Arabidopsis thaliana: one gene and its partners. The protein of the gene in region 1 interacts with the protein of each later gene in a biochemical or structural test. Each region holds a gene or a part of one and is shown on either strand. Other genes may lie near its edges.

Evidence for each region.
Region 2: the proteins of PHYB (region 1) and PIL6 form a complex in vitro, tested with the Arabidopsis thaliana proteins (2 studies listed by BioGRID, with this or other methods).
Region 3: the proteins of PHYB (region 1) and PIL5 form a complex in vitro, tested with the Arabidopsis thaliana proteins (3 studies listed by BioGRID).

The regions. Positions count from the first base shown.
Region 1 is NC_003071.7:8,137,914-8,145,008, forward strand, and holds PHYB (phytochrome B), read left to right. Parts: upstream 1-1,849; 5' UTR 1,850-2,165; coding exon 2,166-4,329; intron 4,330-4,417; coding exon 4,418-5,225; intron 5,226-5,315; coding exon 5,316-5,606; coding exon of another isoform or gene 5,607-5,736; exon of another isoform or gene 5,737-5,982; coding exon 5,983-6,238; 3' UTR 6,239-6,548; downstream 6,549-7,095. Other genes in the region: AT2G18780 (F-box and associated interaction domains-containing protein), read right to left, coding at 1-182; XTH21 (xyloglucan endotransglucosylase/hydrolase 21), read left to right, coding at 7,034-7,095. UniProt on the Arabidopsis thaliana protein: Regulatory photoreceptor which exists in two forms that are reversibly interconvertible by light: the Pr form that absorbs maximally in the red region of the spectrum and the Pfr form that absorbs maximally in the far-red region.
Region 2 is NC_003074.8:21,827,390-21,832,385, forward strand, and holds PIL6 (phytochrome interacting factor 3-like 6), read right to left. Parts: upstream 3,449-4,996; 5' UTR 2,793-3,448; exon of another isoform or gene 2,514-2,792; 5' UTR 2,507-2,513; coding exon 2,436-2,506; intron 2,315-2,435; coding exon 1,588-2,314; intron 1,507-1,587; coding exon 1,441-1,506; intron 1,348-1,440; coding exon 997-1,347; intron 920-996; coding exon 800-919; 3' UTR 516-799; downstream 1-515. Other genes in the region: AT3G59070 (Cytochrome b561/ferric reductase transmembrane with DOMON related domain-containing protein), read right to left, coding at 4,975-4,996. UniProt on the Arabidopsis thaliana protein: Transcription factor acting negatively in the phytochrome B signaling pathway to promote the shade-avoidance response. Regulates PHYB abundance at the post-transcriptional level, possibly via the ubiquitin-proteasome pathway.
Region 3 is NC_003071.7:8,703,509-8,708,714, reverse strand, and holds PIL5 (phytochrome interacting factor 3-like 5), read left to right. Parts: upstream 1-1,710; 5' UTR 1,711-1,930; exon of another isoform or gene 1,931-2,166; 5' UTR 2,167-2,176; coding exon 2,177-2,274; intron 2,275-2,362; coding exon 2,363-3,068; intron 3,069-3,200; coding exon 3,201-3,278; intron 3,279-3,367; coding exon 3,368-3,433; intron 3,434-3,515; coding exon 3,516-3,581; coding exon of another isoform or gene 3,582-3,596; intron 3,597-3,687; coding exon 3,688-4,026; intron 4,027-4,106; coding exon 4,107-4,190; 3' UTR 4,191-4,275; intron 4,276-4,355; coding exon of another isoform or gene 4,356-4,439; 3' UTR 4,440-4,691; downstream 4,692-5,206. UniProt on the Arabidopsis thaliana protein: Transcription activator. Negatively regulates chlorophyll biosynthesis and seed germination in the dark, and lightinduced degradation of PIF1 relieves this negative regulation to promote photomorphogenesis.

The DNA of each region.
Region 1 (7,095 bases):
TTCTTCTTTGCTTCTTCTTTATCGATGTGCTTCCTTGTAAAAGACATATCTTTGGATAAAGTGTTCAACTTTTTGCATGTGAATCGTACTCTTCTCAGAGATGTCACTGGAAACTTCGAGAGCACCTCCTCCGCCACATCCTTTGGAAGATCCGAGAGCATCGTCGTTGATTGTTTTTGCATATCGAAGAAATTTTACTTTACCTTTTACTCTGATTTCTTCAGAGATTATGAGAGAACGAACACTTCAGAAATGTTAGATGTTTCTAAATTGGGCTTGGGCTTTAAAGTATTACCCAAAGGCTATTAAAGTCGTTTTTTCCAATTTGGGCTCCTGATTTATTAGTATGGGAGGGCTTAGTTTTGGGCTTTAAAGTATGCCCCAATGCCTAATAATGTCTAGCTAGTTCTTCGTTATACTAAAGAACGAATTTTGGAAATTCTTGAATTACGATTGTACCCTTATATTAATTTCATCTTTTGTCTTATTCTTATTTATGCAAAAGTTATGCAAAAGTTTTAAGAAATTAGCAGCCAAGCCTAAAGAATCATTGAGAGTTTATAAGGGTGATTTGGTAATTGAGTAGTTTATTAGCTAATTTGATTTCAGTGGCACGTGGTAAATTACTGGTGGTTTAAAACTATTGTACGTGGACGATTCTTAGCCAACGAACTAGTACACTCTAGTGCGAACAGGTACATGATTAAATTCGTGGACATCCAATCATATCTCGTCCAAGATAAGACCAAAACATATGAGGTCATTACTCACTAATAAACATTTAAACTTTTGTTTTGTCAACGAATAGTGTGTTTTTCTTTTGTCATTCCAATTTTTTTCTGTTTTCTTTTCACTATTCACTTTTGGTCCATAATATTTTATGGGTATATAAGATAATCGTTTTTGTCTTCATACATGGTAACATGGATGTTTATATATGTAATAGTGTTAAAAAGAAAAAGTGGTCGGTTATACTTAACTTATTATGATAGAGCTTTGAAAACAAACAACACGAGATGGAGAAATTAGTCATTCAACAAAAGAAAAGGACGAACGCAGTGACTTAACATGAAACTGTGAGCGGCCCAAAATCATTTATGTAATGGACCCTTAACTTTTCATGCACACGATTTTTCTCATTTATATGTTTTTCTGCTCTCTTTTTTTCCTCTTTATCATTACTTTAATTTATTTTATGTTCTTTTTTCGAAGCACCATAATTGTATGCTTTCACCAAATAATCCAAATTTAGAATCATTAATATGTCAAAAAAGAATTGCATATATTCAATAAAACGTAATGCTAAGTAGTACAATGCATGTATTATACAAAATGTAATGATATAGATCCAACGTATATATCAAAGTGGACCAAAATATATCTTATGTATTAGACGAGTTTACTATGCAAAATTTATGATTCTATTCCGCATGGAGCGTGCTAATACTACTTCGAACCCCTTTGAGACCAATATGTGATTCTATATTCTATCTAGTACAAATTATGAGAAGTATATACGTACGATGAGAGTATAAAACATTTCAATATTTGTATAGAGAGGACACCACTTGGTTGACTTGACCCACGATAAGATATTGAAGAAACCAAACTTGTATAGTACGAATTCGAAATCGTAATTGATGATGCGATTCGACAAGTCCAGGGGCTCCCTCCCACGCGCAATGGGCCCAGCAACCACGTGTGGCCACTAGAGAGAATAAACCATTAGCCCACGTGATCTTGGGCCCAATCAATCTCTCCCTCACATTAAACGACAAAACAAAAGCTCTTCTGGGTTAAATTGATAAATATCAAAACTTTAAAGGTAATTTGCTAAAATCGCCACACAAAAAAAGTCGCAGAAAATATATGAGGAAACAAAAAGCGAAGACGACAAAAAAAAAAAAAACTCTGATTTTTTTTTGTTATCTCTCTCTATCTGAGAGGCACACATTTTGCTTCGTCTTCTTCAATTTATTTTATTGGTTTCTCCACTTATCTCCGATCTCAATTCTCCCCATTTTCTTCTTCCTCAAGTTCAAAATTCTTGAGAATTTAGCTCTACCAGAATTCGTCTCCGATAACTAGTGGATGATGATTCACCCTAAATCCTTCCTTGTCTCAAGGTAATTCTGAGAAATTTCTCAAATTCAAAATCAAACGGCATGGTTTCCGGAGTCGGGGGTAGTGGCGGTGGCCGTGGCGGTGGCCGTGGCGGAGAAGAAGAACCGTCGTCAAGTCACACTCCTAATAACCGAAGAGGAGGAGAACAAGCTCAATCGTCGGGAACGAAATCTCTCAGACCAAGAAGCAACACTGAATCAATGAGCAAAGCAATTCAACAGTACACCGTCGACGCAAGACTCCACGCCGTTTTCGAACAATCCGGCGAATCAGGGAAATCATTCGACTACTCACAATCACTCAAAACGACGACGTACGGTTCCTCTGTACCTGAGCAACAGATCACAGCTTATCTCTCTCGAATCCAGCGAGGTGGTTACATTCAGCCTTTCGGATGTATGATCGCCGTCGATGAATCCAGTTTCCGGATCATCGGTTACAGTGAAAACGCCAGAGAAATGTTAGGGATTATGCCTCAATCTGTTCCTACTCTTGAGAAACCTGAGATTCTAGCTATGGGAACTGATGTGAGATCTTTGTTCACTTCTTCGAGCTCGATTCTACTCGAGCGTGCTTTCGTTGCTCGAGAGATTACCTTGTTAAATCCGGTTTGGATCCATTCCAAGAATACTGGTAAACCGTTTTACGCCATTCTTCATAGGATTGATGTTGGTGTTGTTATTGATTTAGAGCCAGCTAGAACTGAAGATCCTGCGCTTTCTATTGCTGGTGCTGTTCAATCGCAGAAACTCGCGGTTCGTGCGATTTCTCAGTTACAGGCTCTTCCTGGTGGAGATATTAAGCTTTTGTGTGACACTGTCGTGGAAAGTGTGAGGGACTTGACTGGTTATGATCGTGTTATGGTTTATAAGTTTCATGAAGATGAGCATGGAGAAGTTGTAGCTGAGAGTAAACGAGATGATTTAGAGCCTTATATTGGACTGCATTATCCTGCTACTGATATTCCTCAAGCGTCAAGGTTCTTGTTTAAGCAGAACCGTGTCCGAATGATAGTAGATTGCAATGCCACACCTGTTCTTGTGGTCCAGGACGATAGGCTAACTCAGTCTATGTGCTTGGTTGGTTCTACTCTTAGGGCTCCTCATGGTTGTCACTCTCAGTATATGGCTAACATGGGATCTATTGCGTCTTTAGCAATGGCGGTTATAATCAATGGAAATGAAGATGATGGGAGCAATGTAGCTAGTGGAAGAAGCTCGATGAGGCTTTGGGGTTTGGTTGTTTGCCATCACACTTCTTCTCGCTGCATACCGTTTCCGCTAAGGTATGCTTGTGAGTTTTTGATGCAGGCTTTCGGTTTACAGTTAAACATGGAATTGCAGTTAGCTTTGCAAATGTCAGAGAAACGCGTTTTGAGAACGCAGACACTGTTATGTGATATGCTTCTGCGTGACTCGCCTGCTGGAATTGTTACACAGAGTCCCAGTATCATGGACTTAGTGAAATGTGACGGTGCAGCATTTCTTTACCACGGGAAGTATTACCCGTTGGGTGTTGCTCCTAGTGAAGTTCAGATAAAAGATGTTGTGGAGTGGTTGCTTGCGAATCATGCGGATTCAACCGGATTAAGCACTGATAGTTTAGGCGATGCGGGGTATCCCGGTGCAGCTGCGTTAGGGGATGCTGTGTGCGGTATGGCAGTTGCATATATCACAAAAAGAGACTTTCTTTTTTGGTTTCGATCTCACACTGCGAAAGAAATCAAATGGGGAGGCGCTAAGCATCATCCGGAGGATAAAGATGATGGGCAACGAATGCATCCTCGTTCGTCCTTTCAGGCTTTTCTTGAAGTTGTTAAGAGCCGGAGTCAGCCATGGGAAACTGCGGAAATGGATGCGATTCACTCGCTCCAGCTTATTCTGAGAGACTCTTTTAAAGAATCTGAGGCGGCTATGAACTCTAAAGTTGTGGATGGTGTGGTTCAGCCATGTAGGGATATGGCGGGGGAACAGGGGATTGATGAGTTAGGTGCAGTTGCAAGAGAGATGGTTAGGCTCATTGAGACTGCAACTGTTCCTATATTCGCTGTGGATGCCGGAGGCTGCATCAATGGATGGAACGCTAAGATTGCAGAGTTGACAGGTCTCTCAGTTGAAGAAGCTATGGGGAAGTCTCTGGTTTCTGATTTAATATACAAAGAGAATGAAGCAACTGTCAATAAGCTTCTTTCTCGTGCTTTGAGAGGTATATTCAGTTCTTCAGCTATGTTGTATCTGCGGTGTATATACCAATTCGCGGGTATTTGATTATTTTGTTGCATTTGGCAATGCAGGGGACGAGGAAAAGAATGTGGAGGTTAAGCTGAAAACTTTCAGCCCCGAACTACAAGGGAAAGCAGTTTTTGTGGTTGTGAATGCTTGTTCCAGCAAGGACTACTTGAACAACATTGTCGGCGTTTGTTTTGTTGGACAAGACGTTACTAGTCAGAAAATCGTAATGGATAAGTTCATCAACATACAAGGAGATTACAAGGCTATTGTACATAGCCCAAACCCTCTAATCCCGCCAATTTTTGCTGCTGACGAGAACACGTGCTGCCTGGAATGGAACATGGCGATGGAAAAGCTTACGGGTTGGTCTCGCAGTGAAGTGATTGGGAAAATGATTGTCGGGGAAGTGTTTGGGAGCTGTTGCATGCTAAAGGGTCCTGATGCTTTAACCAAGTTCATGATTGTATTGCATAATGCGATTGGTGGCCAAGATACGGATAAGTTCCCTTTCCCATTCTTTGACCGCAATGGGAAGTTTGTTCAGGCTCTATTGACTGCAAACAAGCGGGTTAGCCTCGAGGGAAAGGTTATTGGGGCTTTCTGTTTCTTGCAAATCCCGAGCCCTGAGCTGCAGCAAGCTTTAGCAGTCCAACGGAGGCAGGACACAGAGTGTTTCACGAAGGCAAAAGAGTTGGCTTATATTTGTCAGGTGATAAAGAATCCTTTGAGCGGTATGCGTTTCGCAAACTCATTGTTGGAGGCCACAGACTTGAACGAGGACCAGAAGCAGTTACTTGAAACAAGTGTTTCTTGCGAGAAACAGATCTCAAGGATCGTCGGGGACATGGATCTTGAAAGCATTGAAGACGGGTGAGTATAGTTAGAATTTATCTAGAAGCTAGTTTTGCTTACTTCACAAAATGTGACCAAATCCCAAATTTTGTTTTTTTCATTGATCAGTTCATTTGTGCTAAAGAGGGAAGAGTTTTTCCTTGGAAGTGTCATAAACGCGATTGTAAGTCAAGCGATGTTCTTATTAAGGGACAGAGGTCTTCAGCTGATCCGTGACATTCCCGAAGAGATCAAATCAATAGAGGTTTTTGGAGACCAGATAAGGATTCAACAGCTCCTGGCTGAGTTTCTGCTGAGTATAATCCGGTATGCACCATCTCAAGAGTGGGTGGAGATCCATTTAAGCCAACTTTCAAAGCAAATGGCTGATGGATTCGCCGCCATCCGCACAGAATTCAGGTACATTTCATTGTTCCCGCTGTTGTCTCCACATATCCATAACCAAAATTATGCAATCCGGTTTTTTTGGTTCCTTATTTTGTACATAAAGAAAATGAATTTGGTTTGGTTAATTACGAATTTGATTTAGGCGTTTAAAGAATTTGAGGTTTTAACCAATTCACTATTTGTTTTGGTTATTGTTTAGTTGGAACCTAGATTAGTTTGATTTTTGTATTCGGTTTAGTCGACTTGGGAACTTTTAGACACATCCATAGGCCTAGAATTAGCAGTCAAGGAATGTAATGTTTTCAAATTGATGAAAACCAGCTCAAAAGTGTAAAACTTGGGTTTCATGTGTTGGTGTCTTTGTTATGTCTTTATTCGTTGTTTGCAGAATGGCGTGTCCAGGTGAAGGTCTGCCTCCAGAGCTAGTCCGAGACATGTTCCATAGCAGCAGGTGGACAAGCCCTGAAGGTTTAGGTCTAAGCGTATGTCGAAAGATTTTAAAGCTAATGAACGGTGAGGTTCAATACATCCGAGAATCAGAACGGTCCTATTTCCTCATCATTCTGGAACTCCCTGTACCTCGAAAGCGACCATTGTCAACTGCTAGTGGAAGTGGTGACATGATGCTGATGATGCCATATTAGTCACACTTCAGTTGGTATGAGAGTTTGTATCATTGTATGAGTGTTTGTGTGTCTAACGACGTCGGAGGAGGATAGAAAGTTTTTTTTTTGTTTCCGGTGAGATTAGTAGAGAAGAGGGAGATTATTTGCGTTCAGCTCAGCTCGCCGGAAAAAAAACGTAACAGTAGTTGTAGAGAATTTCAAGACTTTTGTTTGTGCTGTGTAAATTGACAACTCCGAGAGAAACAAAACAATGAGATAAGAAGAGAGCATATTAATCGATGACCAATCCTTTTAATTTGTTACTCGTTACATCAATTCAAAATTATTATTTGATTGTTAACCATTTATAAATCATATTATATCCAATTAGTCTGTCTACGCAATCAAGAGGTAAAGGCCAATCACATTAATTTTAAAAGATTTATGATGAAATGGTACCGTCCAAAAAGTTGAAATTTTACAAACTCCACTATATATATAAAAAGTGAGATGTTTAAATTAGGCTGGCTAAGCTTAGGATGTAACACATTAACAATAGTTAATTTAATGTTTATGATGTATCGCACTATAGTTTTGATGTGTATGCTCTCCAGGCTGTTTCGTTTTTCACATTACCCACACTAAACTCACCTTTTTTCTTAAAGAAAATTAAAGTAAAGCTCAAAGACTGAAATATTAACAATATATAACTAATCATTAAGGAATCAAAACTCCATTATATATGCTCTATAAATACTCACCAATCAATAGCCTTCTAAATGTCTCAAACCCAATTCAAACCCTTAAACCCACCTAAAACCTTCAAAACTTATAATGGTTTCTAGTACACTTTTGGTTATGTCAATATCTCTCTTTCTTGGTTTAAGCATATTGCT
Region 2 (4,996 bases), on another chromosome or scaffold:
TTCTCTTATCTGTTTCTTCCACAGAGATCAACGAAGATCAGATTCGAATGCGTAATTTGAAGCAAAACAATGAGAAACAAAATCAAAGAGCGATAGAAAGAGAGAGGCTCAGGAGTCGGGTCGCAGCTTTTTCTATTAATAATCGTGTTTGTTTTCAGAGTGCTGATTTGTAAGATGCTTATTGGTTGACTTAATTAATCACATTCTATACGTTTTTATTATTTTAGTAATTTTTTTCTGCTTCGCTTTAATCGGAAACCTACACGCTCGAGTATGTGATTAGGATAAACTCGCTCCTCTTGTAAGACACGTGTCACTTTAGAAGGACATAATCGGTAATTTGATTTCACCGTTAACTTGAGGAAACTAAAAATCGAGTAGGTATGGGACTCGCTAGTCGTTACGTACGAATCGTGGTGGAGTAAACCACGTTAGCGTTTTCCGTTTTTTGTATAACGTATGCGTTTTGAGCAGTAATATGGGTTAATGTTCATATTCATAGACCCAAAAAAGCCCATGATAATGTCAAATGCAGGCCTAGTCTATCCTTTTTATTTTGTTTTTCTGATGAACCTTGAGAACAAATATAAAAGTATTGACACATGTATGATCTTTAGGTTCCCAACACTTGATTGATACTATAATTCAACTGTTTAAAAATAAGTTATAAGTATGAGACTAACTTATTAGATCTCTATAATACATTTGACTTAGCTTTTATGCTTGCTTAGGCGACCAAAAATAAATAACAATCACCAACTGTAAGAAGAATAATTTCGGAGGAAAACTATATGCCAAGTCAGCCTATTTTACCCATATGAAGACTGTCGGTGGTCGCCGGTGCCGACAGTTGACTTTGCGGTCCCGCCGGAGATCCAAATCCCAACATGTCCGCTGGTTGTTGTTGCACGGTCTGCATCTAATTTAAAACATGACACGTCAGATATTAAATAAATATATTTGTCTTTCTTCAAAACGATGCCGTCTGCAACTGACCTGATTTCCCGCCGGCGGCATCTGGGGAATCCCGCCCATGTACCTAGCGAGCTGCTCCGATAAGATTTGGTTCTGTGCTTGGAGCTGCAACTGTACCGGGTTTTGACATACTAAACCGGGATGGTTCTGCGGAGCGGACCGGTTCATAACCGGGAATTGAGACAATTGCATCTGACTTTGCATAGCCATCTGATTAATGTATGGAGATGATTGTACCCCGGGAAACATCATCGGACTTGCTGCTGCTGCTGCCGCCGCCGCCATTCCACTTCCCATCCACATCACTTGGAGTTGCATTTGAAGTGATTTTAAGTAATCAATTGCTTCATCCAATATCGAAGCTTTATCTGTCTACACAAAAAAAGAAGAAGACAAAACCATATTTAAACACACCAATCAATTACAGCTTAATTAACTCAGTTTTTTTGTGATGAAAAAACTTACTCTGCTGCAGTGAGGTATGAGTTCTTGAAGAGCTTTCATTCTTTCATTGATCCGATCTCTCCTCCTCTGTAATTAATAGACAAAGATCACATCAGAATTATTATTACTGAATGGTTGATCAACTAGTCAGAAATAGTATATGTATACCCTTTCTGAGAGATTATGAACTTCAGCTGCACGGCTTCTTCGAGTAGATCCTGACCGTTGGCTCGATTTGTTACCCATGGTTTGATCATCGGTTGAGGTCAAACCTATATCTGATTGAGACACAGATTCTTGATCAGCATCCATAACATGTTTTCTTTTACGGTCAATGGTTACACTTGTTCCACTAACGGTTTCTTTGTTGTTCCTTCCATAGCTGCAACCGGAGGAGCCACCTGACGAAGTGTCAAGTCTTTCTTCGACGTTCTTGCTTCTATCACTCATAGAAACCGGAAGTGTAGTGGCCTGATGAATATTTGTTGACTGGTTGCTGCCGCAATGACTCGGTCCGACTGTTATAACCGAGGATCTAAACTTAGGAGGAGCCATGGCTTGAGCCTCATGCTTAACTGTCTCTTCGATCGTTCGTGGCTTCTCAGGACCTCCGAGGTGATCGATCGAAGAGAAGAAATGAGAGGAGAACTCGGATTCGAAAGGGTCGATGACGTCATCCGGAGGGTATTGTATCCAGGAGACGGTTTCTTGATCATCTAGAGCAGCGTAGTTAGGCTTTTGTACTGTTTCTTGGTTGTCAAGAAAAATATTGTTGGGTTTTCTTAGGGTTTCTTGTTTGTGGGTTTGGACTTGGACTGACGGTTCTCTACGAGCTTGGCTTTGTAAAACCACTTGACCATCTCTCCACAATAGCTCCACTAATTCATCTTCTGGTCTGTCCCAACATATGAATGTTTACAAACATATTTTAAACAAACAATACTTAAATAGCTATGATTAAGATGTGAAATTGGTATATAATTATGAAATACTTGAATTGGAAAATTGATATATACCTGATTGATCTTTTATTAGTGGACATGTGAAAATTATCTTCAAAATTCCAATCAGCAAACACTTGTTCCATGTCAGATCTGTAAAGACACTTAAATAAAGAATATATTACTTTTTTGTAAGTGAATAAGAAATGATTTGATTCATAATTAGTATAATGATTAACAGGAGATTTGAGGAAAAAGGATGATGAAAGCAATCAACTTAGAAAAGATTATTCGAAATCCCAACAGTTTAATGATTAGAAAATAATTAAACCAAACAACCCTCTCCAACAATCTAGGAGGAAATGATTTAATAAAGCAACTAATTCTATATATAGTAAACTCTTACTAAGGGGAAGCTATAAAAGTAATTACCAGATTTAGAAGCCTCTGAATGGATGGAAGATTTAGCTATATCAGTTTTTTTTTATTGCTTCACACGTAACAAAAATCGAGCAAGGAGGGACAAAAGAAGAACAAAAGATTCTATCTCCAAAACCTTCTCGGTTTTATCTCTCTTCTAGATAGGGAATTGTTCTGAAACTGAGGGAGTAAAGTTGAAACAGAACAGTAACACAGAGAGAGAGAGAGAGAAAGAAGAAAGAGAGGCTAAGGTTCTTCTTGCCAGGTTCAGACAGAAAGGGACAAGAGCTAGAGGAGGGAAGCAGAGAGATTATTACGGTAAGTAAGCGAGTGAGCGAGGGGGAGATAATGATTCGGTGGGGGCAATAGTACTGAAACTGATCAGGATGACCGACACGTGGCGAATTGTCAGACAACTAGTTAAAGAGTTAGTGAGACCCACCAACTCGGTTGGATTTTGTCTGTGAAGTTGAGAGAGATCTATTGCTCGATTTCTAGAGGTGGGTTTCTGATCTGTACCTTATCTGCAACACTCTTTGAGTCTTGACCAATGATTAAGGGTGTTTTTGTCAAATCATAACACCCCTCTTATGCTTCTCTTTCAGCGAATAGTATCTCTAATAATGGTAAACAAAAAACAAATTGAAGTTCTCTATTTTCTACGATGCTTCGATGAGTTTATATCATCATCTACTATATGAATATATGAACCGTTTTATAATCATCTGAATTCAATTTCATGTCAGAGTCTCATTAAAACCCGAGCGGAAATAATCTTGAGAAGTCATCATTTTTTCCCCCGGCAAATTTCCACATCGCATTTATTTCACGTGTTGACTAGTTAAAGCTACCATCGTAAGTTTTTGTGTTATTATCATTCTCTAAACAACTGCAAGTTTATACATATAACTTTTAGTTGATTGTGAATTTGGAATTTATTAATTATACACAAAATTTTGGATATTAATAACAGTTTTGAACCTAAATATGCAATCACAAATTCACAATGTCGTAATAAACCGTGGACCGTTGTGACTTGTTTGTCATGGACCACAGACAAACAATGGTCCACCAAAATTATGATCACATTAATTTCCGATCCTTATCACAATAATTTAACAGTAGATCAGTTTCTAACCCTTATCACATCAATCTTATCGTTTAATGTGCATAACCCCTACCGATCTAATGATAAACAAACATATTATTAGTATGATAAATTCATGAATATATTACATTGCAACTTACAAGTAGACAGACAGACATATATAGTGGGTGCATTTGTGAAGAAAGCATCCACCGAAAGGAGACATTTCCCTTTAAAAGTCTTTGGCCCTCATTTGCTTTTTCCACGAAAGAGACGAGGTCGTAATAGCGTCCATTCAAGGCTATAGAAGGCCATGAGCCAAGTAACTCAGTTTTTGTTTCCAGCCATAGAAATAGTAATTTAGTGCAAAATATGGAATTTAAATATGAGTAGTTTAGTGAAAATTGCTGAATAATAACACTTTTTCTTCCGTATGCAAGTTTTTTTTTTTTTTGATAAATTATTTTGTATGCAAGTTGCTATTTGCTAGTTGGATGAATTAAGTTGATAGATAGATTCGTTCGTCGTGGACGATACATGTAAAACGTTGTTATCCCAATCAAGCAAAGAGGAACACGGTTACACAGATGCCAGCCATAAATCATAAAACCCCAAAACCCTTCGATTGCTATTTTATTTTTCTTATAATTTTTGTTTGCATTTGACTCAAATGATGTCGTTGTATTTGAATTTATAACTCATGTCGACATATAAGTCGTCGCCTAGTTGGATAATTAATTCCATCATCTTCTAAACCGATATATGAATTAATTCTATGCATATACATTAGATTTCGACGAAGGAACGAATCTATCAATCATCATTGATTAAGGAACCATATACATACATTAAATATTTATGAATATGCATATTCATAGGATGAAGATAACATCACATTAAATAGAATGACATTAGCAAATTGAATTTATCAGAAAAGGCCCAAAAGTTTTAAGTCATGTCATATAACAGATATTGTACTGTGTTGTGGAGATGCGTTATTGGGCCTAAGATACGGCCCAGTTTAGTCCGAAAAATACAAATTTATCAGAGAAAAGGGCCGAACAAAACGTCAAAACCCTAACTCTATAAGAGACCGTTCTGAAACATTCAGGCGGCGGTGGCGGCGATG
Region 3 (5,206 bases), 570 kb from region 1:
ATAATTAAGTTTGATAGATCATGCAAGAGGGTGGTTTAGCAACAAAAATAAACATATTACCCTGTCTCATAAATCATTGAGATTATCAATAAAAAAAACACCCAATTTCTGTCTTAATATTGTCCCCACCAATGTGAGTCCATATCTGATTCTCTGTTTCTTTCTTCCCTACTTGGAATTATATAAAAATATGTATATACATATTAATGTGTATATATATATATATATGTGCGTGTTCCCATATCAATGATAAATGCTCTTTATCAAAAGGTAAAATGATTATAAAAAAAAATAAGTTGTTTCATTTTATTTGTTGTTTTCAATGCAAAATTTATTATTATTTTATTATTTTTGATTCTTGAAATTCTGCAACTTTTTATTGGTTAAATTATTTTAAAATATGTAATTAAACATATTTTTAAAATTTAAGAAAACAGAAACTAAATGATCTTAATCAATGTACCAAAATCTTAAACTAGAACAAAATAGAAACAAAAGAAGTATTATAGAAGAAATTAACACTTTGTTCACTAACTTGACTACTATAAATGATTATAAATTAACACTTTATGTAGCATTCGACTTTTCTGTTTATAGAAGAGGAGACTCACTTAAGTCTTTAATATCATGTTTGCATATGTTGTAGTCTTTTGTTTTTAACATCTTTGGATTGACATGGTCTATTCTATAGCCAATATCTATTATGCAAGATAACACGATTTAGTGGAGTCAAACTCTGGTGGAAAAAGCGGAATCAAATGGATTTAACCACAAGACTAAAGGAATATTTCCTGCAAGATATATGTAGTCTTAAATCTATAATTTAGCGATATAAAAAAGGACAATTTTTAAATATGATACTTAAGTTTTTGTTTATTTCTTTAAAAATACCACTTAATGTTTGGTTTCTTAAAATAACATAAAACTTAAATTTAACTTCCAACATTCAAAATTAAACTCTAAACTTTAAACACTAAACCCTAACCCCTAAAAACAATATCTTAAAATTAAAATGGTCAATTCAAACTTAATTTTTTTAATTCTGATGAACTCTTGAAAATCAAAATTGAAGTATAATATTTTTGGAAAACAAAACTTTTGGTGGTATTTTGACAACACAACTTGAAAGTGTGATATTTTGCTACAATACTCCTCTAGAATTCGAGGCTCCCTTAAAACAAAATATTATTTTCGTGTCAGTCATATTTTTTTGAGACATTTCTCAAAATACCACATTTTCAAGTCTTATTGCTAAAATACCATTTCATCCGGTATTCGATCTTCTATCAAAAGAAAATTATATTCATGTAGGATGTCTAGGTTTGGTCCAGACAAGTTAAATGGTAATCTGGTAACATGCGATTCAGTTATGTTTAAGTGTTAATCAGTTAATATTCTAAACTCGGAATAAATGTGTGATGATCCTTGAATATAAATTTATTTTGTAATACTTAAATATATTTTTACCAAAATTAACCGGATCATTGGATAAAGTTTATAAAATAATTTTTTTTTGATGATAATGCCATGAAAACAATTTATAGTACGGATGAGAAACAATGAGGCTGATTATTTTATCTCCGTCAGCTACAAATGATCTCAGACATTTTGTTTTTATGTTCAACTTGGTTTTTTATTCAGAGGTTAAAAAATGGGCACAAGTTTCTATTCAGACACATACACACATAAATAAAATAGAGAATTCACTGTTAAAGTTAGTTGACACAATAGTAAATGCGATACATGCTAGAGTCACGGAAGAGGCAAAAACAAACTCCAAAGAGAGACATATAAGAAAAAGACAAAAACCCTTAAGAAGCTTATCACATTCTTAAAGCACGAAAATTCAGAATAAGATTCAGTCATCCTTTAGCACAAAAAAAAAAAAAAAAAGATCCAGTCATCCAATACTAGTTCCCCAGAAATAAAGGTGATATATTTTTTTTTTTGAGAAGCCTATCCAGTACCAACCTCAATTCTCTAGGTTAGATATAGTCTGGGTAGTATATATGTTTCTTCACTGATTAGTAATCTCTGTGTGTAGTACACTTACTCACTAGTGCTACTCTTTTGGATCTTTCTGGGGTTTTTCTTTTGGTTATAAAACCAGAAGAAGAAGATAACTGTTTGTTATTTTAATACTTACCATTATCATCATCTTTGTAGAGAGAGAGATATGCATCATTTTGTCCCTGACTTCGATACCGATGATGATTATGTCAACAACCATAATTCTTCTTTGAATCATCTTCCTAGAAAATCCATTACTACTATGTAAGTTCTTTTATTCAAACTTATATTAAAAAAAAAAAAAAGTTTGATTAGTTCAAGATCTGAGTATTTATAGTATTGAAAACTTTAGGGGTGAAGATGATGATCTTATGGAGCTTTTATGGCAGAACGGTCAAGTTGTTGTTCAAAACCAGAGACTTCACACCAAGAAACCTTCTTCTTCTCCACCGAAGCTTCTTCCTTCTATGGATCCTCAGCAGCAACCTTCTTCAGATCAGAATCTTTTTATTCAAGAAGATGAAATGACTTCTTGGCTTCATTATCCTCTCCGTGACGATGATTTCTGCTCAGATCTTCTCTTCTCCGCCGCACCTACTGCGACGGCTACCGCGACGGTGAGTCAAGTCACCGCCGCGAGACCGCCAGTATCTTCGACGAATGAGTCGAGGCCGCCGGTGAGGAACTTCATGAATTTCTCGAGGCTGAGAGGGGATTTTAATAACGGTAGAGGTGGTGAATCTGGACCGTTGCTTTCGAAGGCGGTTGTGAGAGAATCTACGCAGGTAAGTCCTAGCGCAACACCGTCGGCGGCGGCGAGTGAATCCGGTTTAACACGGCGGACGGATGGTACTGACAGTTCCGCCGTAGCTGGAGGCGGCGCGTATAATCGGAAGGGAAAAGCAGTGGCTATGACGGCGCCGGCGATCGAGATAACCGGTACATCGTCATCTGTAGTGTCAAAGAGCGAAATCGAACCGGAGAAGACGAACGTCGATGATAGGAAACGAAAAGAGAGAGAAGCCACCACTACTGATGAAACTGAATCCCGTAGCGAGGTGAGTCAAAAAAACACAGAACAGAGTCGTTGTTAGCTATCGTGCGCAAGTCAAATACGGCGCATTTTAGTCTGACTTTGTAGTTTTCAGCGCATTTTTAATTAACTTTTTTGGTGTTTTCTTGTGGTGCAGGAAACAAAACAAGCACGTGTATCAACAACATCTACCAAGAGATCTCGTGCTGCTGAAGTTCATAATCTCTCTGAAAGAGTACGTTTGTGTTTTTTCTTATGTTTTTGTAATCTTTTTCGATAAAGATTTCGCAATGAATCTGAAGAATGTCGCGGATTTGGTAACAGAAACGGAGAGATAGGATCAATGAGAGAATGAAAGCTTTGCAAGAACTTATACCTCGCTGCAACAAGGTCTTCGACGATCTTTTTTCTTTCTCTTCAAGTTATTGTATACGTTAACCTTGTTACTGATTGTTGTTTCTTTGATCCTCAGTCAGATAAAGCTTCGATGCTAGATGAAGCTATTGAGTACATGAAATCTCTTCAGCTTCAAATACAGGTTCATTTTCTTTAAAGGATTCTAAGTCTTGAAAGCCCTTTTTAAGTTCTTGAAAATGTACACTTTACCATGAAAACTCCAGTTTATATGACTGAGATTAATGCAGATGATGTCAATGGGATGTGGAATGATGCCAATGATGTATCCGGGCATGCAACAGTACATGCCTCATATGGCGATGGGTATGGGTATGAACCAGCCTATTCCTCCTCCTTCCTTCATGCCATTCCCCAACATGTTAGCCGCTCAAAGACCTTTGCCTACACAAACTCACATGGCCGGGTCAGGACCGCAATACCCTGTTCATGCTTCTGACCCGTCAAGAGTCTTTGTACCGAACCAGCAGTATGATCCAACCTCGGGCCAGCCTCAGTATCCAGCTGGTTACACGGATCCATATCAGCAGTTCCGCGGTCTCCACCCGACCCAACCACCTCAGTTTCAGGTACTAAACAGTCATCTCTTTCCCAAAAATGACTAGTTCCTCTGCTTACAAGTCACAAGTTCTTATCTTTCTTATTTTAGAATCAAGCAACATCGTACCCAAGTTCGAGCAGGGTGAGTAGTAGTAAGGAATCTGAGGATCACGGAAACCACACAACAGGTTAATAATGTCCATGGAGCAACAAGAAGATCTGTTTTCACAAGCAAACACAATTTCTTATCCGACCCGACCCAACCACCTCAGTTTCAGGTACTAAACAGTCATCTTTTTCCCAAAAATGGCTAGTTCCTCTGCTTACAAGTCACAAGTTCTTATCTTTCTTATTTTAGAATCAAGCAACATCGTATCCAAGTTCGAGCAGGGTGAGTAGTAGTAAGGAATCTGAGGATCACGGAAACCACACAACAGGTTAATAATGTCCATGGAGCAACAAGAAGATCTGTTTTCACAAGCAAACACAATTTTGAGAAATTGACAGAGAGACCTAACATGTATATATATCGCCATCTGTTTCTTGTTTTTCTTTGGTTTGTTTTGTCCTCTCTTCTCAGGTTGTATACTTAGAGAGCTGTACATGTAATGATCCAGAGATCTAGGAATCAATACATAGAGGTTGCAGAGGCTTAGTGCAAAGAATAAATATGAGAAAGTTAGGTTCATATACATACCCGATCATTATTCTTTTCTCGTCTATTATTATTACTTTTGACGAAAGCAATTCTTGATTAAGCTTAACAGTGAATATTTACAAATGTTCCACTCCCAAGTCCCAAAGACTTATCGATACAAATGCACAAACAAATCTTAGTCCTTGCAACTAAGCTCACAATGTGACACAAAATATGTAAATAGACGGACAAAAGCCAGCAAACAAAAGCAAGAAAATTAATGATGTAATTGGCCAAGCATTGCCCATTTTGTAGTGTCTTTCATAGGATCTCTTCATCTAAAAACGTAGTGATGTCAACTAATATGGTATCTCCAGTCCATGACCATAATATCGAAAATATAAAGCTAAAAGAAAAGGCAAACAAATTTCTCAAACCGTTAAGACTTGCTATCTCCATGACCATAAGACTTGACAAACATGCATATATATGTATCAAACCGTTAAATCAATTTTGTATTTGCTTAATAAAGAAGATGTAAAAAGAAGTTTAACATTTATAGTATTTGAAAA